4 linked regions of the Caenorhabditis elegans genome follow. The protein of the gene in region 2 interacts with the protein of the main gene of each other region in a pairwise test. Each region holds a gene or a part of one and is shown on either strand. Other genes may lie near its edges.

What was found.
Region 1: the proteins of kxd-1 (region 2) and cox-5B interact in a two-hybrid assay, tested with the Caenorhabditis elegans proteins (one large-scale study listed by BioGRID).
Region 3: the proteins of kxd-1 (region 2) and spdl-1 interact in a two-hybrid assay, tested with the Caenorhabditis elegans proteins (one large-scale study listed by BioGRID).
Region 4: the proteins of kxd-1 (region 2) and xbp-1 interact in a two-hybrid assay, tested with the Caenorhabditis elegans proteins (one large-scale study listed by BioGRID).

What each region holds. Positions count from the first base shown.
Region 1 is NC_003279.8:9,786,443-9,791,762, reverse strand, and holds cox-5B (COX5B-domain-containing protein), read right to left. Parts: upstream 2,755-5,320; coding exon 2,569-2,754; intron 2,543-2,568; exon of another isoform or gene 2,273-2,542; intron 2,264-2,272; coding exon 2,164-2,263; intron 2,113-2,163; coding exon 2,000-2,112; 3' UTR 1,912-1,999; downstream 1-1,911. Other genes in the region: tba-1 (Tubulin alpha chain), read left to right, coding at 4,139-4,140, 4,373-4,605, 4,656-5,269, 5,315-5,320.
Region 2 is NC_003283.11:7,217,769-7,223,408, forward strand, and holds kxd-1 (KxDL domain-containing protein), read left to right. Parts: upstream 1-3,700; 5' UTR 3,701-3,710; coding exon 3,711-3,803; intron 3,804-3,861; coding exon 3,862-3,944; intron 3,945-3,993; coding exon 3,994-4,196; intron 4,197-4,245; coding exon 4,246-4,289; 3' UTR 4,290-4,388; downstream 4,389-5,640. Other genes in the region: C13F10.5 (SAYSvFN domain-containing protein), read right to left, coding at 1-89, 336-405, 1,038-1,221; C13F10.6 (FTH domain-containing protein), read right to left, coding at 1,446-1,532, 1,589-1,937, 2,131-2,833, 2,884-3,022, 3,077-3,211; C13F10.7 (CCHC-type domain-containing protein), read right to left, coding at 4,568-5,049, 5,099-5,170, 5,370-5,484.
Region 3 is NC_003280.10:7,777,869-7,784,517, reverse strand, and holds spdl-1 (Spindly-like protein spdl-1), read right to left. Parts: upstream 2,953-6,649; 5' UTR 2,932-2,952; coding exon 2,896-2,931; intron 2,848-2,895; coding exon 2,605-2,847; intron 2,559-2,604; coding exon 2,235-2,558; intron 2,187-2,234; coding exon 1,554-2,186; intron 1,509-1,553; coding exon 1,305-1,508; 3' UTR 1,167-1,304; downstream 1-1,166. Other genes in the region: skr-17 (Skp1-related protein), read right to left, coding at 49-553, 603-640; snpc-1.1 (snRNA-activating protein complex subunit 1), read left to right, coding at 3,309-3,406, 3,455-3,539, 3,590-3,667, 3,713-3,781, 3,827-4,036, 4,081-4,399, 4,461-4,542, 4,589-4,873 and 1 more. UniProt on the Caenorhabditis elegans protein: Transient kinetochore component required for chromosome and spindle pole alignment and chromosome segregation during mitosis.
Region 4 is NC_003281.10:4,190,344-4,196,609, reverse strand, and holds xbp-1 (X-box-binding protein 1), read right to left. Parts: upstream 2,802-6,266; 5' UTR 2,628-2,801; coding exon 2,379-2,627; intron 2,329-2,378; coding exon 1,850-2,328; intron 1,796-1,849; coding exon 1,660-1,795; 3' UTR 1,252-1,659; downstream 1-1,251. Other genes in the region: dnj-16 (J domain-containing protein), read right to left, coding at 3,452-3,592, 3,655-4,179, 4,309-4,475, 4,591-4,813, 4,968-5,062, 5,333-5,369. UniProt on the Caenorhabditis elegans protein: Required for transcriptional regulation of the unfolded protein response (UPR) in the endoplasmic reticulum (ER) under stressed conditions, acting downstream of ire-1, and also maintaining ER homeostasis via a negative feedback loop, in parallel with ER kinase pek-1.

The sequences.
Region 1 (5,320 bases), on a different chromosome or scaffold from region 2:
AAAGAAATTGAGATAAAAACAATAACATGGAATTTTTAATTTTCGAAACTAGGTGATTCATTTTTGCGGGAATTCGAAATTAATTCAACATTTTAATTTTTGCTAAATTAAAAAAGATTATTAGAAATATTTAGAAAAATTGTATTTTCAAAAAATTTGACAGTATTTACGATCCATTTTTTTTTTGTTAAAACACATTCCTCAACTTATATTACTTAATTAATTATTTAATCATTAAGGCAAGAGAAATTTGATAAAATTGGAAAAAAATCAATTTTTGAAGCTTGGAGGCTTTTATGGAAAATGTATGAAAAAGTAAAATTGTTTGGATCACCGAAACGGGCCATAACAACCGATTATCCAAGATTTCCGTTTCGGAAAACGAAGAAAATGTTAGAGAGTAGTTGAGCGAAACAAAAAAATGAGAGAAAGGTTTCCTTTTTTCTCAGCGTCTAGTAATTTTTCTCGTGGGGATTTTCGATACTCTATCGTTGTCAGAATAGTCAGACGACGAATAACAAGATGGCAAATTGACGTCACGTGGGGGGAAAGCTGATTCATTGTAAATTCTGTTACGATTAAATAAAAATCATATAAAATGGATATGAGTTTGAATAACACTAACTGAAAAAAACCCTAGTAGGAAAAAATAGTTCAAAGGAATTTCTTCACGATGAAAAAGAGTTCCAGTGCCAAAGCGAGTTCAGCAGGAGCTTTCTAACATCTCTACCCACCCTCTTCATCCTGTTACACTATTTCGTCTCACGGAGAATATTGATTTTGACGAGAAAGAGACGAAAAGATGCGCACACAGACACACGCACATGCGAGAAGGCTGTCAATGAGAAGAGAATCAACCCTCGAGACACACAAATACTGAGTTCCTACTGGTTTTGAACTTGTAACGCCGTTTTTTTTCTGAATTTTTGAGATGGCAATGGAGGGAGGGGTAATTTTAATTTGGCAGCAAGCTGCGCCATGGTTTGTCGCGAGAAAGCTCGTTTAGAGTTTATGAAGCGCAGGCGTCATAGAACACTGGCAAAAAATCTCCTAACTTTTGTTTTTAATTAAAATTAATTAATTTATGTTTTTTTTAATAAGAAACAATCTAAATATTACCTAGATTTGTTATTTATGTAAGTTCTATTAAAAGTTGAATTTGAACAAGAAAATTGGGCAAACACGAGTTTTCCCATTGACCACGAAACTCTGTTATCATTGAAAATCAGAATTTAAAAAAAAAGAAAATACGCAGAGAAACAGTCTGATTGGGTAAAGCGATAGTGGAACACGAGACCCGAAAAAATAACAAAATTCTAGTCTTTGAAACTTCAAAATAGGATGTTACAAATGTAAGGTTCTCGTCAAAATAGTACGGAAACTTGTTTTACGTAACTAGCGTCATGTTTTTAAATGATAAAATGAAAAAGGAAGTCACTAATGGTTCGAAAATTGGAAATGTTTTGAAGAAGTGAGTTATTACTTTTTGATGTAATGCTCAAGCCTGGGCTCTAAATGTATAAATTCGATCTACGACAACACGAAAGCTTAAAATTGTTGAAATGAAGGCAAACAATTGCCAATTTAAAAACAAAATTGTATGTGCTAGTGACAGCACGTGATTTTGAAAACCAATAACAAAATGAGAGGAGCGAGGCATCTGAACTCAGATTTTTATCAGCTAGATTCTGTGGAGGTTGACGGGAGAAACAGCATCATTGATTGTTGTTTCCACCTGTTTTGTTCATTTTTAACATTAACCACCTAATCCAGGAGATTGTCAGGGAAAACCTACGAAGAACATTTTTTCATGTAAGAAATGTAGGTTAAATTGATAAAAAATTAATTTACAGAAATAGGAGACATCTTGACGAAAAACAAAGAAACGAATTGAACCAACTCTAGAAACAGAATGGTTTGTCTTCAAACCAGCGCGTTTTATTTTCACTGATGGAGCGATCTAAAATAAGTCGGAACAATAATCTACATTGAAAATTGTTTAGATGGATTCTGGGTCGGCGTCGACTCCCTTGAACCAGTGTCCGCACTCGCATCTCTTTGGATCTCCTTTGCGAATTGTCATGAAATTGACATGTCCGGAATCTTGCTCACCTGAAAAATAGTTGTTTAATTGAATCAATCATGCTTTTAAATATAACTTACACATGCATCCAATGATTCTGAAGTCGTAGTGAGATGGGACCAAATTTGGCTTCTGCTTGGTGGAAGCCTCAGCGCGATAGTAGACTTTTGGCTCGTAACGCTGAAGAATGAAACTTTTATTATTTAACTTTGAAAAGATGAAGAAATAGTAGATAATTTGCCACTTTTACTAAATGGGTTTCATTTTGTAAACACTTTCTCATTAAAAACCAGTATTAGATACGATAACGACTCAAATTGCAAATCTCCCTCAGATCAGCTTCGACAAAGTTCGTTCAATACGACTCACACTTCAAGACAAAATCTCGAGAGCGAAGTAGCTCACAATTAGCTAAATTGATACATCATGGGGTATACTTTGGAAATTATTGGGAAAATTGTTAAATTTTATTAACAAAAACTCACATCATCTCCAGCAAGACGAGCGAGAAGCATCTTCTTTTCACGTCCGGTAGCGTGCTCAAGTGGATCTGGGTAGTATCCGTAGTCTTCTGGCGAGGCTTCAGTGGCCAAAGTACGACGGGCCACGGCAGCTGGAGCGACGAGCTTCTTCGAAAGGGCGGCAACAGCCGTCTTAGCAAGTTGAGCCATCTGAAAAATACAATTGTATTTCTCAAGTATCAAAAACGACTAAATATAAATTCGATTTCGAATGAAGAAAATTATCGATCGGGAGTCTAAAAATCAAAAAAGGAAGGTGGCCTTATTGAAATAGGGTTAAATTAAAAGATAAACCTCTTGAAAAATCAGAAATTTTTTGAAGAACACTTATATTCTGATTGGACCCTTGAAAATGCGAACAATAGCCGAAAAGAGCCAAAAACGCTTGGCACGATTTACGGAGCCTCAGTGGCGGGCGTACACTCGGCGTACACTCGGCATACACTACGCGCGTCTGTTGCAACGCACAAGACGCTCCTCAATACGAAACACCGTAATGCGAAGAGGATTTGAATTCGTTTCGTCCACTAGGCGCGCTCGGGAGAAATTTTCACTTTTTTTGGCGCGAAACAGACGACAATAGGATTGGGAGATGGCTGTCATTCTTTCTCATTTTTCGCTTCTCAATCGCTCGTATTCTCTCTCTTCGATTTGCTCCTAAAATGGAGTTGTTTGAAAGTTGACTCGTTGTCTACACATGCTGTAAATATTGAGCCACATTTTATTGTTTGTTAACAAATTTTCTTGATTATATTGCAACTTGTGTGTTCAATAGAATCTTTAGTTTTAGGGAATTCGTTTCTCCAGCGGCTAATAAAATCATTATAGATTTGCATTTCGGCTTCTACTTTAGTTACGTGCTATTGCTTGTGATGTTTTTAATTTTTATTTATTTTATCATAGCTTATTTACTGAAACTTAAACTTCGTTTTATTATTTTTTGCATTGAAATCTGAATCGTCCCGATGAATATTTGCATTTTCATGAATAGGACATCCAAGCGTCTATATCATGAACATCGGATTAAGGTTTAGTGGAGAACCTATTTCGCAATATACACCAGATGGCCACTACTAGTCATGTCCACCGAGGAATAGGGTCGCCGCTGTCCTTGGCCAATCGGACAAGCGTCGCTCGTTCCTCTCTCTGACCCGGCACTGCCTCTCTGACCAGTTTCATCCAAGTGACAGATGTCTAGAGCAAGGCAGAAAAGATTGTCGTCTTTAGTCTTCCAATTTGAGTTGTTTTACCCTTTCCTCGCACCAGAATATCTAATGACGAAGAGCTCTGTTTTCTTTCCCAGCCCGACTTTCATTTCTCATTTGACTAGATGCATAGAACCCAATAGGGTTTGACTGCTGTGTATGTACCACGATGCAATGGGCGTAATTGCTCTCTGTTTTCAACGGTCCGAGTCTTTTTCGCTATTTCGCAATACTCTTGAGAGCTAGCATTTCATATGTATGCAATTGGGTTTGTTTCATTTGGAGGCTCATAAATTTTATATCCCAAACCTTCTCCATCTCGTTAACTAATGTAAGTTCCTGGTTTTGTTTTTATTTACTTGTTGTAAACCTTGTACCAAGTTTATATCTGGTTTATTGCCCTGAAAACTATTCAGCCGGAATTGTCAACAGGATTATTTATAATTGAGTTGACCTTGTTTCCTAGTTGATCGACTCCTATGATTTTATCATTCGTACTTTACGCCATATGTTATCCGCGTTCATTTATGATTTCATTTCTTCTAATTTCCGTTAATTTTCAGGTTCGTTTTCAACATGCGTGAGGTCATCTCCATCCACGTCGGACAAGCCGGAGTCCAAATCGGTAATGCTTGCTGGGAGCTCTACTGTCTCGAGCATGGAATCCAGCCCGATGGAACTATGCCATCAGACCAACAAGCCGATGGAGAATCTTTCACCACCTTCTTCTCCGATACTGGAAACGGAAGATATGTTCCAAGATCGATTTTTGTAGATCTTGAGCCAACTGTTGTTGGTAAGCAATAATAAAAACCGTTTCAAATTCAAATTTGTTTTTTTTTTCAGATGAGATCCGCACTGGAACCTACAAGAAGCTGTTCCATCCAGAACAGATGATCACCGGAAAGGAAGATGCCGCCAACAACTACGCTCGTGGTCACTACACCGTCGGAAAGGAACTGATCGACACTGTTCTCGACAGAATCCGTCGCCTCGCTGACAACTGCAGTGGTCTTCAAGGATTCTTCGTCTTTCATTCATTCGGAGGAGGAACTGGATCTGGATTCACCTCATTGCTTATGGAGCGCCTCTCGGTTGACTATGGAAAGAAGTCGAAGCTGGAATTCTCCATCTACCCAGCCCCACAAGTCTCGACTGCCGTCGTTGAGCCATACAACTCTATACTGACGACTCACACCACCCTCGAGCACTCCGACTGTGCGTTCATGGTCGACAACGAGGCTATCTATGATATCTGCCGCAGAAACCTCAGCGTTGACCGTCCAAGTTACACCAACCTGAACCGCATCATCTCGCAGGTTGTGTCTTCCATCACCGCTTCCCTCCGTTTCGATGGAGCTCTCAATGTTGATCTCAATGAGTTCCAAACCAACTTGGTCCCATATCCAAGAATTCATTTCCCATTGGCTGCGTACACTCCACTGATCTCTGCTGACAAGGTATACATTTTTAATGTCAAATTGTTAAAAAAGTAATGATTTCAGGCTTAC
Region 2 (5,640 bases):
CACTCATCTCGCCGCGTCGCCGTCTTCCAGTGTTCCAATATGTGAAAAGAATGAGTGATAGAATGAAGAAGACCGCTCCGAATTGGACCCTTCAAAATTGAATTTTTCATTCATTAAATAAATGAGAAAGATTGGGACATGTATTGGGACATGTCAAGCATCCCAAAATTAGTACTCTCCGGAAAAAGACAATGCTTTTGCAGAGGCCCACACTCTCTCTCTCTCTTTTCATTGCTCTTTCTCTTTCGAGTGGTTCACTCGGCAAACACATGTCATGTCGGTGTCTCTCGGTCATCATGTCCATGAACGGGATAATTGTAGTTATAAATGCTCACCATGCAGCCAGAGCTTGACCAACTACGTATACAACCACGGCGATTCGTGTAGAGACCACAGACTGCTCTTCTGAAAATATAGAGAGCTCAGGATAGGAAAGAAGAAAACGGGAGAAAGTTTTTTGATGCATGTGTGCGCCTTTAAGGAGTACTGTAATTTTGAACTATTTTTTTCTGTGGAATTTTCATCGATTTTTTATATTATATATTTAAAAACTAATATAAACAGTAAAAAATCTTGAGAAAAAGTATGAAAAAACAATGAAAATTCCACAGCCACAAGATTTTGATATTACAGTACTCTTTAAAGGCGCACTCTTTCGCATTTAGTTAGCAAAAATTTGTCGTGTCAAGACCGGGTACCGTATTTTCGGATAAAAATTGGAAATTTTTGCGTCCGTGTAATATTTTTTTTCATGTTTTTTGCATCGACTGGAAACAATTTTTATTTTATTTGTTTCATTTTAATTTGATTTATTGAAACTGTTTTCAGGCATTTCGAGCAAAAAATCTGTTTTAAAATTAATTTCAAAAATTAAAAAAAAACGTTTTTCATCGAAATAAAGTTTTAAAACATAATTTCAATAGGGTTTTAAATGCAAAATGGTTTTTTTTTTACTTTGAGAAAAGTTTTCTAATAATTTTAAAGTTTTTTTCCAAATATCTCAACTTTTCGATTCTTTTCCAAAAAAAAAAGCTCACCATAATCCTCTGGCACCGGCTCAGCCTTTGTCAAAAAGTTCCATTCCCGTCCATTCGGCGATTCTTTCTTTATCACATTTTCCACGTCTTTTTGTGTAGTTTGCTCGACTTCTTGCCTTTCTTTTAACTTTATTTTCTCTTTCTCTTTTCGAAATTCTTGAAGGTTTCGGAGCACATCACTCATTTTTATGGATCTTCTAAAGAGGAGGGGAGCTATTTAAAATTTGAAACTAAAAATTGGGAAGTCGTTTGAAATAATATTAATGGATTTACGAACCATCAAAAAACAAACTGAAAAGTTCAAAAATAAAAATTAAAACTTATTTATAAAATTTTTCGACTATTTAGATTTTTCGTTTAATTTTCAAAATCACAGAAATGAGATCAAATATGGTTTTTTTTTGGAGATCAGTGATGAGATGGATTGGAAACCGTGAGTTGATGTTTTTGACGATCAATTTTCTTGAGATTGACGTGGTTAAAATGTTGGCGTAGCTGAAAATATTCACAAATTTTGAAAAAAAAAAATAATTTTTAGAATTTAAACTTACAATTTCTAATGAATTTTCCGGTAGAGTTCCGTTCACGAGTCCAATGAGTTTTTCTAATTTCTGGTGCTCCACAATTTTTGGGAATAAAAGATGCGGAATTAACATATCCAGTTCTAATATTCTTAGTTCTTGAAGGCCATCCAAAAGTTTTGTGAAATTTTGTACAGTATTACAAGATCCATTATTATGAAAATGTAGATTCCGGAGAGTTGTAGAACATCGGGAAATTAATAGATCAATGGAAGATGGAGTCAGCTTGCAGTCATTTAGATAAAGTGTTCGAACTGTTGACGGAATGAATGCAAGAATTTGATCGATTGGACAGATCTCTTCTTTCTGAGGGCAGCTTCTGAAAAATTGTTTTTTTAAATTAAAAAGTGGAGTAGAGACAGTGGTTTTTTTCCATAAATTACAGTAACCAGTCTCAGTATACCGAATATAAGATGCTTAAAAATGTATAAAATTATTCTAAATTTTGTATTATTTTTTTTTTTCAATTTTGCAAACGACTCTACTCTTTTTTTTTCGAAAATTGAACATACGATATGAGAAGCTCTTTGACAGAGTACATTATCGGCAGAACCGTTTCGAGTTGAATAAAGCCGTCTTCGTGAAGATTCGTCATATGAATAACTTCTGCTTTTTTGAATATCGACGGGCAAGCATCAGCTAGATCCTTGACAGTATTATCCTCTTCGTCTCGAAATTGAATATTCAAAGTTGGAATCATTTTTCTTGTCGGTGAAAGATTATATGGTCCATTTGTGATGAATACTTGTAAAACTCGTGATCTATCCGACATGAATTGAGTCAAAGCAATAATAAGATTTCGCGGCATTTGTGGATCAGGAAAAACCAGCTGACACGTTTCCAGTTGAACTTCATGCAATGCCATCTCGACCATAATTTCTTCAATGAACCACGAGTTTTTAGATAGGCTCGGATTGACGTGGCAGCAGAAATGTTTCAAATTTGGATTTATTAGTCGTTTCATTCGTTCAATTTCCGTACACCATTGTCGATCGAGATGAAGTTCCAATGATTCGATTCGATCCAAAACGGCGGCGTCGCCTGATTCCTCATCCAATTCAAACGAAAAGTTTCGTGCATTTCTCACAATGATTCTGTTTAATTTGGGAAACTTTTCTATATTGTCCAGAATTTGTACAGTAAATCGACGGCATCTAATTTCAAACTCCACTATCCGATTGAGAAGTCGCTTGCTGACTCCGTTGAAGAAAACATCTTAAATTTAATAATAAATTCCTGAAAATTATCGTTTTTGCAGTAATTACCTGGATTTTGAATAGTATCCTTGTAATTATAGCCTACTATTTCGCTACGTTCATCTTCAGGAACATCTGAACAGTTTCGAACTGAAAGACGGGACGAGAAATTACGAGGTCGCATGAGAAGAGTGAGAATTGATGGCCACTGAAATAAAACATAATTATAATACAGGTTTAAAATAATTATAAGCAATCTCACATTAGGATCTTCTTCCAATCGAATCGCAAAATTTCCAGAAATCGGAGTTTTCAAGCACAATTCTCTCAATCTTCGACTCGAAAGCTCCAGTGAATTTCGATCTTTGAACCTCTCAACAAATTCGATAATCTTCATCATTAGCATGTCATTCCAGTATAGTAACGTCTTCGTTTCCTCACCATTTGGCATCAAAAACTGCAAAAATATATGTGATATGAGCGGAACAAGAACACAAATCTATGCGCAACAGCTTGAACAAACATTCGGTTGACCGAATCGAATCGATAAAGGTGCGGGGAGACTAGCGGAGCGTGGTGGTGGTCACTAATGGATTCTCGTGAAAAGATTTATAATTGATATTCAATAAATAAATCAACAATTAGCTTAATTTTAACTATTTTCAAATGAAACGGAACGCCGTCCAGATGCGTGTCAGCAAGTGCGCGCGTGCGTAAATCGATAAATTTGCTTTGACATTTTCGAGTTGCACACTCACAGCGCGCGGCTCTTTTCTTCCATTTTCTCATGCTTTTTTCTTGTTTTTCTCAATCCCTGCTTCAGCCGTTATTCATGTTTTATGTCTTGTTGTGTCTAGAATAAAACATTTATTAATAATTTTTTGTTTCAGTTATAAATGGCTGAGAAAAATCACCAACAACAAGAACGACTACCTGGCAACCCGTTTTTCCCATCAAGAAGCAACGCTGGCTCTTCATTTGACATGCCCGTAAGCTTTCTAATAATAATAATGGGAAAAAGGAATAAAAATATTTAATAATATGCAGGAAACACCACATCTCATCGATTCGCTCACTTCTCAAATCGACGAATTCACAATTCAAAGCATAATTGATACTCAGAGACAGAGGTAATATACTGGAGAATTTAGAATTTATTGATTTTTCTTTTTTTTTCAGCTTGAAACGCTTCGAAAAGACAAATGAAATGCTCATGAATTGCGCTCAACTCGGCGATCGAAGAATTGAAAAAGCAAAAAGGGATTCTGTGGGACACAAAGAGACAATTCTGCAGATGAAAACTGATTTGGAATTTATTTTCAAAAAAATTCGCATGTTCAAAACAGTTTTGTCGTCAAAGTATCCAGAAGTTTATGCTGAAGGTGCAGATATTTTAATTTGAATACTTTTAAAAAGTTCATCAAATTTCAGTGTCAGCCGAGCTAACGCCAAAACGAAGCGAGGAAGACGAATGAAATACAATTTATTCGTAATTGAAAAACAAGAAGAAAAAAAATAACAGATCATTTGGAACAAATACAAGTCACAGAAATTCAATAAAGATCTCAAATTTTTGATTAAAGTGAAGTCGAAATAAGTTATAAAATTTTTTGTTTTTAATTTAATTAGTAACTTCACTATGGGGACTTTTTGACACAAGAGAAACAATAGAAATTTGAATAGAGAAAATATTAATGTGGAGGTGGTTACTGTCGGAATAAAAATTTAGAGTTAAAATATCAATATTACACGATTATGATCTACGGTGACGTTTCGAGTCACGACAGTCATCATCAGAATCGGAAGAAGCTGATCTATCATCTGAGGAAGAATGACGGCGTTTTCTTTTTTCCTTTTTACTTTCCTTGCTCTTCTTCCTTTTTCTATCCTCTTCCTCATCAGAATCACTACTATCATCAGAATCATCTCGTCGCCTTCTCTTCTCTTTCCGTTCCTTCTTTCTCTCCTTTTTCTCGAGTTTCTTCGCCTTCTTCTTTTCTTTTTTCGCCTTCTTTTTCAGCTTTTTCTCCTTTTTCCGCTGCTTTTCCAAAGCAATGAGCGGAGTCTCGTCGTCACTTGATTCAGATGATGTCGAACTGACCTCGTACGCTTTTGTCGATACATTTGGACGTACTTCAATGTGATTTCGACACTGGAAGTATAGATGACCCGGATATCCACATCTTTTGCATGCTCCCGTGACTGCGGGGGCAGATATTGCGGCACCTGATATATCTGAAATTAAACAAATTATGTGATTTTAATTTCCTATGAACTACCGTACCTACAAAGGCGTTCGGGTCGTATCTTGATGGGAACGCTGACTGTGCTAGGGAAGCAAGTGAAGGTTTTTTACCTGAAAGTAGATTTTGAGTTTTTTTTTTGAAAAATTTATAAATACTTTTTTTCCAAAAAACCAAGTTTCTTTTTTGGAGTCGTTTTCAAAAAAGTTTTTTTTCGCTTTTTTCGTCCCCTAAATTGTTTTTTGTTCGGAAACATTTTTTTTGCGAATAAATCCATAGTAATTTAATTTTTGAAAATTTAAGATTACTTACCTGACTCATCATCTTTTGATAATGGGCTATCTGTGTCAGTTGTGGTAGTTACAGTTGTACTGGTAGATCCGAATTTTCGCACAAACGGCATCGGAGTCAGGTTAGCGTTCGCCATCTGTAATTGTAGTGAATATTAGGGAGTACTAAAAATAAGCAAAAAATAACGTGAAGAGGTGGTAAAAGACGCTGGTTTTATGCGCGTTTTAGAGGGGAAGAACTGTTCTCAAGGGAAGATGGGTTTTATAGAAAAATTATCGATTTTTCGGCGCTT
Region 3 (6,649 bases), on a different chromosome or scaffold from region 2:
GGTTTTGTGCAATTGAAATATTTGAAGATCGAAGATAGTAACAGAAAATTAATCATCCCATGTAGCAGTCGATGTAGATGGTTGTTCCCATGGTTCAGGTATTCCGAAAAGTTCTCGCATTTCCTCGGCATTTTTTCCTTTCGCAGAATTGGCAACTGTTTTGCAGCCGTAATTGATAAGTCCGGTAACGTCCAAATGATATGCAGCAGTAATCAGATCGAACAAATTTGACATTGGCAGTCTACTGAGAAAATGTCTATCCCAGGAAGGAATGCAAATATTTTTCTTGTCCTTCTCGGCCAGTGCAATTGCAGGATCATCTTCTTTGTGTTTATCGCACCATTCAATCAGTAATTTTAATGTAAATCCAACAACATTGTTCACAGGTACCGGTTTTAATTCAGCACAGTATTCCTTGTCATATCCTAGCTCTCTGATGGTTGCAGCAAGTGTACTTGAGAGGAGGAGGGCCCGGATGTCTCCCTGCAACAAATGTCCATCTGAGGATGTCAGTTGAAGTAATCGAGGTGGCGGACCGGACGGCTTTGGTACACTAAACGAAATATTAGATAATTATTTTTATCAAAATGTTATAAAAATACCTTGGTGGTGCTCGTTTTGTATTGTTCTTCTTCGGCATCTGCTTTCCGGACGAAATGTGATGTCTGAAATGGAAAAATTAGAAAGGAAACGAAATTTTGCTGAGAAAATGATCTTAAAAACTTTTTGTCGAACACCATTCGCCACAGAGCGCATTTGCGTTCTTGTTCTACTTCATTCGGCGGCAAATTCAAATTTTAAAACACCCTCGCACAACACAAAAAATCATCGTAAATATTAAAAACGATCAATATCATGCGAACCCCACACCAGAACAAATTCGAACGGTTTACAATTTTTAAATTTTAAGCTCTCTCAAATGTTACTAGTAGTAAGAACTGAACCTATATCGAAAGCATATCCATACGAGATCTCCGAAGATTGTAGGGAAGAGAAAATCTGGAAAATATTTTTCTATATTCTACCCCATATTTACAATAATAAATATTAAAAATATATAAATCAATAAGTGATCGTGTAATATCGATAGGGTTTCGCGCTCCACTGCACTCCCGCCAGCGGCTCTATCAAGTTCTTGAACATCAACAATCTAAGAATGAGCGTTATAATAAAAATAATTTTATTTGACATGCATTAAATAGGAAACATTGTAGAATAATCGACAAAACTTGGTGAATAGAGGGGACGAGATCAATACAGGCGGTTTTATATGAATACGAGATGACTACGAACATGATGTTTACTCAGTTTTCCTTTGTTTCTGAGGTTGATGGCATTTGAAGAACAGCCGGTTTGAATTTTGGAACGGGCTCGGACAGTTTGATATAGTTGTAACGCGGCGTCGGAGTCGCCAATTTCTTTTCAGCTTGAGCTTTCATACGACGTTCTGCCCATTCTGAAGTATCATCTTTGATGGAGGAACGAGTGGTGAATTTAGCTGCTGGTTTCTGGAAAAATAATTATTTATAGTGAAAAGTTGCACTTTTATCTACCTGTGGCGTAACGGCAATACTGGATAATGAATGCCCTAATTGAGGCATGGGTTCCACGTTTTTCGGTTTAATGAAGAATGATGGTCGTCCATTGTTAAGAGTTTTCAGAGGAGCAGCAAGAAGCGGGTGCTCGAAATCCTTATTGACAACTGGTGCAGCTTTTCTGTGAGCACATTTATTGTCGAATTGTAGTTGCACAATGTCCGCTTTGAGATTTTCTACTTCCTGTTGCAATCCACGAATAATTGTCACGTACTTTTCGTTGTCCTTCATCAAACCGTCAAAACCTCCTTTCACGCTCGCAATTGACAATTCGAACGACTTGAAGTAGCCGGTAATCAACGCTCCCACTTCGCGTTTTGGAATTGACCTCATTTTAATGAACATTCTTTCCCACAAATGAACCCTTTCCGTTTCCAGGTGACAAACTCTGTCTCTGAGACGACGCATCTCTTTGACATCAATATCACTTGTGGTCATTCGGGTAACGTTGAATCTTTTTGTGGATGACCGAAGTCTTTCTTCGACTTCTTCTACTTCCATTCGAAGACGTTTTACCATCCCTTTCAGTGCTCGATTCTCTCCATGAAGAACTTTCAGGTCTTCTTCAACCTTCCGCTCGGCATCAATAACCTGAAGAATATTAAAAAAAATGCAGTTAATTGATATTTTTTAACCTACCTCAGAAAACATTGAATTTCCGCGTGCCGCTAATTTTCCTTCATGGGAGTTTCTCTCATCAAAAAGCTCTCCTTCCAATCTGGCAATTTCCTCATCACGCGTCTCCATATGATTTTTGAGGTCCCGAATATGATCCATCATCGACTCAATTTCATCTTTCAAGTTGACCGCTTCTTTTTCGAGTTCGGCGTTTCGTTCGTAAAGAGCAGTCGCCGTCTCTTTGTATTTCTGACAATCTTCGCTAATACGAAGCATTTCAGATTCTCCGAAGGAATTGGAATCATCATGTTCGGGAATCACTGATCCGTTGGCAAACTCCTTATTCTGAGAATTCAATATATTAATGTTGCCCACAATGATGAAAACCTACAATTTTTTCGAGTTTGTCGATCTCACTACGCAGTGAATCGATGAGAGCGTCCCGATCAAGAATTGTGGCGTTTTTTCCGTCCATCTCAACATGAAGATCGCGAAGTTGTTCACTCAATTCTTGTGCACGTTCTTCGAGTGAAAGTTTGGAAGAACAAGGTTTTCCCTGATTTTTGAGATCGTCTTCCATCTCCTCGAGCATTTCATCTTTTTGACGGAGAATTTTCTTGAGCCTCTCAACGTCCTGAAATATTAGGTTTAGTTGGTAATAGATGAAATGATAAAACGTTACAGCAAGTAATTGGAGCTTCTCCTCGTCGTCAGGCATACTGATTGAAGTTCGATTCTTCTGAAAACATGAAAATGTTTCGATAGAAAACGATCAGTAGAATATTTTTCACGGCAACACGATTTATAAGAACGTTTCACGCAGATCTATAGCTTTTGATGTTTTAATAAAGCGTAAAATTGATTGCGAATATATTTAAACTAATTTTATGGGAATATTTTGAGCTAAATTATATCAAAACGATTGAAAAACAATATTTTTAGGTAAATTGAGGCGCAACTCATTTTGAAATGCGTTGAATACCGCTGGTTCCCGCCGAGAATTGGTTGTTCACGATAGAGCGCACTTGCATGTTTTTATTTTCGTCAATTATTTTCGGATTTATTTCTGAAGATTCAAGGAAAAAACGAGTCGCAATGGCTTCTGGAGGTATTCCCACGCCATTTATGGGAACTGGAGTTAAACAAGATCTTCATTTATTGTGCAACAAGTTTATATCTATGGGATCCAACAGGTATAGTTAGAAAATGTATTATTTGATGGAAAATCTTGATTAATTAAGAATTCGAGACTTTGCTGATGTTTTTCGGGATATGCATTTTGAGACCATTCTTCATTATCGATTAAATCCTGCCGAATGCTTAGAGGTAGCTTTATTTTGATTTTATTTAGTCTATTATAATATTCCGGCTTTCAGTTTACTGAATACCTGTTACAACACGCAGCAATGTATTTCGGAAAAGTGAATGAAGTTGGAGCATTCAGGGCATTCAAGGTTTGAAATAGAAGTAAAAATAAGTCTGAAATGTTATATTTTCAGGAGAGGCTATTCGGAGTTTATGTTTGCTATGCGTTGTACAATTTGCAGCCAGTTGATCATGTCTGTCAGGTGATTAATTCTAAGTTTAATTTAGTTTTAAAAAATTTAATTCAGATTCCGGTCACTGCGGTACAATTCGAAGAGCTTCTCGAATTTCAAAAATCTTTAGAAGTCGAAAAACTTCTTGAACCAATTGCGGCTCTCAAAATGCTTATTCTGAAGAAAGCGTTTAGAATTAAAGTGTTTCAGTCGACATATGATCCGGCAACCCACAAAAAATACCTTGCCGAGGAAGAGTTGCCCTATTTTAACAAAATTCCAGTTGTAAGTAAGTTAAATTATTGGAATTTTTTCATAAACAGTTTCAGGAGCCGTTTTCCAGTGTTACGAAAATGCTCAGTTCTGATATTATGACGGAATTATCATTTATTCACGGAGTTTACACAGAGGCTAAGCAAAAACTTGGACTAAGTGATACTCTAACGGGGCTCAAATCACCATTACACGAAATCAAGGGCATTGTCGAAAAATATAAAGAACAGTTCGAAAGTTCTCCAACAAATCCAGAAATTAGTAGCGCTCCAGAGGAAACAGCTGGTTCAAGCAGATCAACTTTGAGAAGTAAAGCATATGCTGAAGGACTAAAACACACTAGACAAAGAAGGCATCTTGATCCAAACATGGAAGGTACATTTATTACACGAAAATATGTTTTTTTTTTTCAAAAGTCAGCGTTCAACTTTTGCAGAAAACTTCAAACATCTTACCGCAAGAACGTTTGGTGACATCGCCCAGGAATGTTTGGATGATAATGATGCTCAGGTTCCAATGTAAGCAATTACAGTTTAACCCCAAAATAATAACCTATTTTTACAGCCCGATTGATCGCCCTGTAAGACAACGGCGACGCAGAAAAACGACAACAGTTAATCCTGAAGAGTTATTAGACGATAATGCATTGGCTGAAGAAGTTCTACGAAATGAGTATGCTGCCAGAATAAAGCCTGAAATACCTGAAGATTCATTGGGCGGTAAAGTAGGCAAGCAGGGAACATCGGGAGTTGCAAGAATTCGGGCACCAAAACGTGCAAATGCGAAATTGGTTGAAGTGAAACGAGAACAAATCCCACAAACTTCTGCTCCGATAACTGCTTCCCAAATGTAAGTGAAGATTTTTGTTTTTTTCTTCAATTAAAAATTATTAAATTATTCAGTGACGAATCATTCACATCGCCTGCGAACAAGAAGAACAGAAAATCGGCCAGCGTAGTTGAAGTGAAACCTCGAATCAGTGATGAATGGGCCAACAAACTGCACGCATGGCATGGACAAGTCGAGGCTACGGATAAACATTTGAAAAAGTTGACAAGTCAAATTAAGCTGGAAGTTATTGAAGACGAAGAAACATAATCATTTCATTTTCCTTGCTAACCATTTTTTTTAATGAAAATTATACTACATGAATTTTTTTTTTGAAAATTAAATTAAATTTGCTGCTGAGTTGCCTATCATCTCCGACTTTTGTTATTTTATTAATCTCTGTTGGTTCAATCTTTTCAATCTTATACTTTTATCTGTCCAACTTCCAATTATCACCAGTGATAAATCGCCGCAAAAGACCAATTGAAATGGCCTGATATCGTGCATTACATGATTATTTCATACAGTTATCATCTTGTGCTGTAGCCCATTCGTGAAAGCATTGAGTGCACTTTTCAGAATCTTGTTGTAGTTCTACTGAAAATTGGTTTTAATCCTATAGGATAAAATTTTCGTTTGTGATGGGAAGGCAGTATTGAGAAATTGTGGTTTTCGTTTGAAAACGTACTATGCTAAAGTTCTCTTCAAATGACGATTAGTTCAAGGTCTTGCTTAGTTTCCCATTCTTTCTTGAGATACTATCAAATAGTAACTATCTACGACTTTCTTACTTATCCTTTTTTTCTAGAACGCATCCGTATTTTCTCAGTTACTCTTGCACCAAATAACTTATATGACTGCAGATATCAGAAAATATTTAATATGTTATAAAAACTACAAAAAAAAAATTTTGTTTTGAGAAAACAACAGAATTTTCAAAGTTGAATAATAGAGCAAATACCTAAATGCTAAATTTCGCTGTTTAAAAATTACGGTACCCGGTCTCGAAACGGCCAATAATTTTCAGTGAAAGGAGAGGAGTGCGGTTTTAAGGAGTACCGTTGTTCAATTTTTCTTAGTTTTCACACTCACTGTTTATTAAAAATTGAAGCTTAAAAAACAGGAAACGATAAAAAACTAAGAAATCAGCAAACTGCTGAAACTACTGTACTCTTTAAAGGCGTACACTTGTTTTTGTTGACATATTTTTAATCGTGTCAGGTACCGTACAACATGGCACTGGCATCTCCATATAAACATCACTGCATAAGACAAACAAAGAGAAGTTCCACGTTGAACTATTTGGCAAATTTTTGGCAAAACATTATTGTTGTTGCCCCGATAACAACCCAACCAAATCGTTCACAGGTCATCATGCACCAAAATATTGTTAATACTCATTTGTTATCAAATTAAAAGACTTCCCCACTCACTTTTTCTGCTTCAAATACCGCTATTTTCAAAAAATGTTTCGATTTATCTTTTTTGTCTTTTGTAAGAATCCGATTTCTATGAAGGAATCGGCGCCCCGCTGAGAATGTGTATTGCTTCATGTATGCAAAAGTGCACTGAGTGCCACGACGAACGCTTTAGTGAGAGAACGAGAGACCCAGCATGCTATGTTCCTTCTATATAAATATTGAACAAAACAAGTGGTTTTATGCCAGAAGCACGTTTGTTTCTCATTTTCTTGTCATTTTTGCTTAGATTAAGAACATTTAGCGGACATTGATAGTTCTATGACTTCTCTTTTTTCCAATTTACCAACCGTTTGCCACCTTAACGCTCCGCCCTTTT
Region 4 (6,266 bases), on a different chromosome or scaffold from region 2:
AATTTCAATCTACAGTATCTACAGTCTTTCAAAAAAGTTCTGCCTTCAGAGGTAGCTACCAACACTTGAAACGGGGCCAAAACTGGTTGTTCAGTCTCAAAACGACCCTATTTTTCGATAGTTTTCCGTCTTTTTTTTGTGTCATCTTGCCTCATTTTCCTCACTTCCTCTCTCTTTCTCCTCAGTGTTCAAGGTCTTTTCTTTGTTGTGACACGGGAACTAATTTTGATGTGAAGTGATCGGATAAATATTTTGTCATATCAGGAATGAATAGGTGCAAATTACGAATATTTCTTTTCAATGTTTTTTAGGCATAATAGCGAGGAAAAACTAGAAAACACGCTTAAAAATGATGAAGAAGGAAGAAAAATCAGAAAAGACAAACAAATAATTACAGTGATCAAAGGTGCATGCATACAATTTCCAGGTGGGTCTCGCAGCGGTAGGTAATCCAATAAATTTAATAAATATTGCGAAAATGAAGCATTTCGATGCCGATTTCTCTCTAAGAATCGATTCGAATCTACTTTTTTGTTTAAAAGAAGCACAAAAACTCCACTTTTCCTGTGAAAGGGATTAGTACTCGCACTTGAAGAGAAACAAAAAAGTGGAAATAGTGAGTCCTTATTGTGAGAAAATTGAAAAATGGAAAACGAGAAAATGAAAAACCGGGAGGAGAATAGGGAGCTGGAGCGTTGCGAAAATAAACGAGGAGAAAGTGAGGGGGAAAAATGGAAAATAAAAAGACAGATGGGCACCATGTGGCGGCGGAGAATGACCGATTCAATCGATTTTTTAATTGGTTAGTCGTAGAAAAAGTGAGTGAGAGCAGAGGCTATTAAACCAGGATTGAGCGTCTTAAGCTCAATGAGTTCAGCACTTTTTCAATCTGACAACTTTTATATCGAATTTTGTGTTTAGACATATTTTGTATCGTACTAAAGTATTATTCAACAAAAAAAAAACTACAATTTAAAGATCGTCTGAATTTCGAGAAATACGATTTTCTAAAAACGAAAGTAGGGGCCACGTGGTGTGAATCAGTGCATGTCTCTGTATATTTGTGCTATGAAAAAGAAGAGAAGGCGGTACGGGTGGGAACGAAAGATGGATTGTTTGTTTAGACATTTTCACACCATATTCCCTTGAATAATATAAACAAATGTACTGCTTGATGTGAAGAGGCTGCGAGTCTTTTTAATGTAGTCCAGGCAAATAACGAAGGAGTTCCTGCACAAAATGATCAAATCTCAAAAATGTATGGCTGTTTTTATTAAATATACAAATGGGGGAATTGGAATCAATGAGCTTTGGGGGAGGGAAATTTAATAAGGGTAAATAATAATACGAAAGTTGGGGTTGTACAAAAGGAAAAGAGGAAAAGAAGAAAATACCAGAGAGGAAATGGAGAAATTTGGAGAGATTTTTGGGGAGAAAATAATAACGAGGGAAATTCACTAGGACACTACAATAACGATACACCAGATATAAATTAATTTTGGAAGAAATTTAGGTCGATTGAATTTTCGTCGAAAGTTTCAAAGTTCCAGTTTCCGGGGTCGGTAAGCAGCTCGTCGGTTCCAGTTCCAGTTTCGGTTCCACATCCCAAAAGCTCATCATCCCAGTCAGTGCTCGAGCTGCTCATCGACGGGGACATGGCTAGGGAATTCGGCGAAAGTGTTTCACGCGTTTCTGAAGATGTGTACATGGATCCGCTTGAACAAGACGCTGCATAACCGTCTGCTCCTTCCTCAATGTAGCCAGCAACGAATCGATCGAACTCTCCGCTTGGGCTCTGGAAATTTATGAAGTTAATACATAAACATTAGGAAGTTTCTAATTATCTTACCTTGAGATGTTCGAGGATTTGTTCGAGGTGTCCATCTTCTTGTTGCGATCCATGTGGTTGCATAGAATCGAGATGATAGTTAGATACATATCCACACTGATTGTGTTGTTCTTCTTGGAATCCATACGACGGAGTTGGTTGCTGATGTTGTTGTTGATGGAGGTGGATCGGGCCTGTTCCCACTGCTGAGGCTCATTAATGAATGCTGCTGATTCAAAGGCACGGCGATCCTCTCCTCCGACGACGACAACTGGTGCAACCTCACCGACGACTTCTTCTTCGTAGACGACGTTCTGGTAGATGCATGCATCATTGCTGTTCATCAAGTTTTCGTTGTTCTCTTCCATATACATGACGGACTCGTTCTGCTGGTTCATAAGATTTTTATTTTGACGGCGAAGACGTTCGTTTTCAGCGCGGAGCCGGCGGTTCTCCTCCACCAGATCGCGCATCACATCCTCGATCTTTGCTGATCTTTCCTACAAGAATTAAACTTATTTTCAGGGTTCGATAAACATTCAGCACTAACCTTCTTTTTGTCTCTAGCATTTTGGGCTGCGACTCGATTTTTAAGTTTCCGACGATCCATTTTCTCCTCCTGACTCAAATGATTCAGTCGTTCTCTTTTGCGTGGCCCAGATGGTCCCATATCATCGCCAAGAAGTTGTGCGACAACTTGTTCTGTTGGAAGTGCACGCTTGGGAGCCATTCTCTGAGGCTGTGGCGCTGCCACGTGGCGTGCTGGGAGCACATAAATACGTTTTGGATAGTTGCTCATTGTATAGTTCTTCAGTGTAGCGAATATGGGGCTAAAGCCCAGGAATTTATGAAGAAAAAGACTTCTTCTGCTTCTGCGATTGTTGTGATGAGGAAAGTGAGGGTATATGCTAAAGCAACGTCGACAAACGCGTCGCGACCGCAACGCGGCCACGCCTGCAACGAGAAAACGTGTGACGGAGAGAGAAATGAGACATTTTGTTGTTGGCAAAATGTCTATTGCGAAATATCAATGGGAAATGACGTCAAGAGGGAGCTGAGTTGGAACTCGATTGTTTGCCGGAAACGACATGATAAGAATGAAAGTATCATATCAATCTAAAAATTACTGTCTCAAAATTGTAATCAATTCGTAAACAAGCACTATTGAAGTATTGAGGAATATTGAGAAACTCATGAAATTTCGTATGAAAGTATGGAAAATTTGCAATTAAAGAGTACAAAATTTCATAAATGCTAAAAAAAATCATCTCAAAGTTATACTGCTCGCCAAATAAATTTGTGCTGCGAATCTGCTTACAGCGTTAATAAGAAAAAATAAATTTAAAATCAAACTCTAGCCATAAATATTTTATTTATATTTTTCAATCAAGAGCAAAACTAGTAATTTATCTAGAAATTGAGTACAGAACACTTAAAGTTTTGCTAAATTACACCATAAAAAAGAAAAAAAGAGATCTGATGGATCGACATTAGAAAATAGAGGAGAAATTAAATGTTATCAACAATCAATAAATATCGAAACTAACTCTGGAAAGTGAAATTTAAAAAATTTAAAAGACCCATTCTTCTTGTGAAATAGTTTTAAAAAAATCTTGATAGGGATCATTTGAACCATCCAAGGAGACCACCCGATGATTTAGATGGGGAAACTTTCTTGTTATACGGTTCTTGAGACTTCTGGAGAACTTCATTGTAGAGCTCTTCACGATGTGCCAGCGCTTTCAGAATTGTGTCGTCTTGTACCTGAAAATTAAATTTTTGATTAAAACAAATATTCTTTCAGCTTCCGAAGTAAGTAATCTTACCTTCAACTTCGCCACAGCTTCATCATATTTTCTCTTAGCTTCTGTGAATTCTCTTTGGAAATCCAGCATTTCTTTTTTAATAATAGAAATCGATTTCTCCGTATCCTGAATCTCATTCAGTTGCTCGACAGCAGAAGGTTCCACAGGAAGGAAGGTTATTGAATATTTGACATCGCTTATCCAATTATCACCATAAACTGCAATATAATGCTTCCGTGTCTCCAAAAGTGTCGCAGTTTGCATCTCAAAACTATCCAAATAATGAAAAGCCAATGGAGTTTCCTTATCCTCCAAATGATATTTCATTGCATTGAATTCTTGAATATTGGCCACATTGTACGGTACAAAGAACATGTCGGCTTGAGTTCCGGCTTTTCCTCGTTTCCCACTTTCTTGGATCATTCGGACACCTCCTTCTTTATCGAATAACACTAACTTGAATTTACTAGATGAACTTTTACAAATGATAGCAACTCCATTCTTTCGATGTTCTTCCTGTATGTTAATTTCGTAGAAGTGGGCGTGCTGAAATTAATTTTAATATTAGTTTTAGTAGTATTTATAAAATTAAATTTTAAAAAAATTAAACTTAAAATCCATCCGAATTTTTCGAATATTAAATTTTCACATTTCATGGTACAACAAATTTCTCACCTGCTTGCTCACAGAAGAAGTTACAGTCTCCCCGGGAGGGAGTTGTCGTGCCTGAACATCACATTCTTGTCCCATACAAATGTGACGTGCCTGTGCAAGAACTTTTGGGACAATTTGTGTGGGAATAGGTACTCCAAGCTTGCTGAAGAGTGCTCCAAAGACACGACCTGCAATTATTTATATAATTAGAAAAAAAAAGTCCCTGGAATTTTCTGGGTTAACTTTTTCAGTTGTTCTTGGAGAAATCAACGTTTTTAAATGTTATTCTTGAAAATTTCTCACCAACTCCTCCCATTTCGGAGACATCAAATCCTTCAAAGTCCAATTGATTTTCTGATGGACCACTAACATCGTACTGTCTTCGCTTATTTGGATCAGATAAAACTGAATATGCGATTGAAACTTTCTTGAACTCTTCCTGAGCATGAGCATCATTTGGATTACGATCTGGATGGTATTTAAGAGCCAATTTTCGATACGCTGATTTGATTTCTGCCTCGGACGCCTGGAAAATGAATTAATTTCTATTAATTTCGATGATAGGGAGATTAATTTCATTTAAAATACTAAATATATCTTAAACGTTTCCTGGAAATTTCCTGGAGACGAAATATTGCTTTCTTGCATGCCTTCAGATGTCATCCGAAAAAATTAATTACCATTTTCTCTACTCCAAGCAGCTGATAAAAGTCCATTTCCGAAACCTTTGGTTGATCTCCTGGAGTTGTTGCTTTTGACATGGTCGCCGATGTTGCTTCAAAAAATAAAAAATAAAAAATAGTGGAAAAAAGGGAAAAGGAAGGGTGATTCATTTACTTCTTTCGCAATAGGGCAAACATTCGTTTATGTCTGCGTCTCTTTGGAAAGTATTGGAGAAATGTAACGAGAAAAGCCATACATTTTAGGCAGGAAAGATGGAATAGCACAGAGACAGAATCAATATAAAACACGCTCAATTTTGACAATTAGTCGTTCGCTGCTCATGGAAATTAATTGCTGAGAATTAAACAATTATAAATCTTACCCTGTGATGAACGTCTTTTTCCAAACAGCAAAACCATGAAGAAACGATTAAAATATCGAAAAATGTGAATAATTTGGAAAGAGAAAATATATTTTTTTGAAAATATTTCAAATAAAAAAGTTCCGGGTACGGTCGACAATCTGTGCAAACACGCTGCACACAACAAGATCTACCGTAGTCTGAGAAAAAAGTTTCGCTTTGTTTTTGTCATTCTTTTTTTTTTTTCATTTTTTCGCTTTTTCTGGTTTTTTGAAATATTTTTTGTCTTAATTATTTTTTTACACTGATATTAATACGAAGGAACGCTTTAAAACTCTAATTTGATTCGTAAATGAGAAATTTAGCTGTAGAACTCTTTGACTCTCCAGTGTGAGATTATTTACTGAATTTTGTGAGATTAAAAAAGTGTATTGGAATACACATTTCAGCATTATTCAAGTAGATTTGAGTATATATTCATGTAAACTCACAATTCTGTTTTCGGATTGACATTCGTAACATTTCCGCGACTTTATGCATGTTTTTGGATATTCCGAATTATTTTTGTGTAGAATATAAATGATGAGAGAGTTGCACAGTCGGTCGCCAAAAAAACACATATTTTGTTGGAAGAATATGCCACGCGCTTTTCCCTTTTGTTATCATTCTTTTTTTTTGCCGATTTCCACAGTTATATTTTTCGATTCGCGTTCCTCTCTTTTTCTGTTGGTCCATCCAATTTCCGTCTATTCTGACTAATCAAACGATCTCAACTCAATCAAAACATCAGTCTCATTGTCTATTATTAGTGGGAATTCGAGATTTCTTGTATGATGTGAGCTTGCACACACACAACAGCTCATAATAGTGCCTGGGGAGGCGGAGAAGCGAGAAACGGTGCTATTTGATATGGAGGTTCCGGAAGGGATGACGACGCTGAGTCGAAATCCCGCAG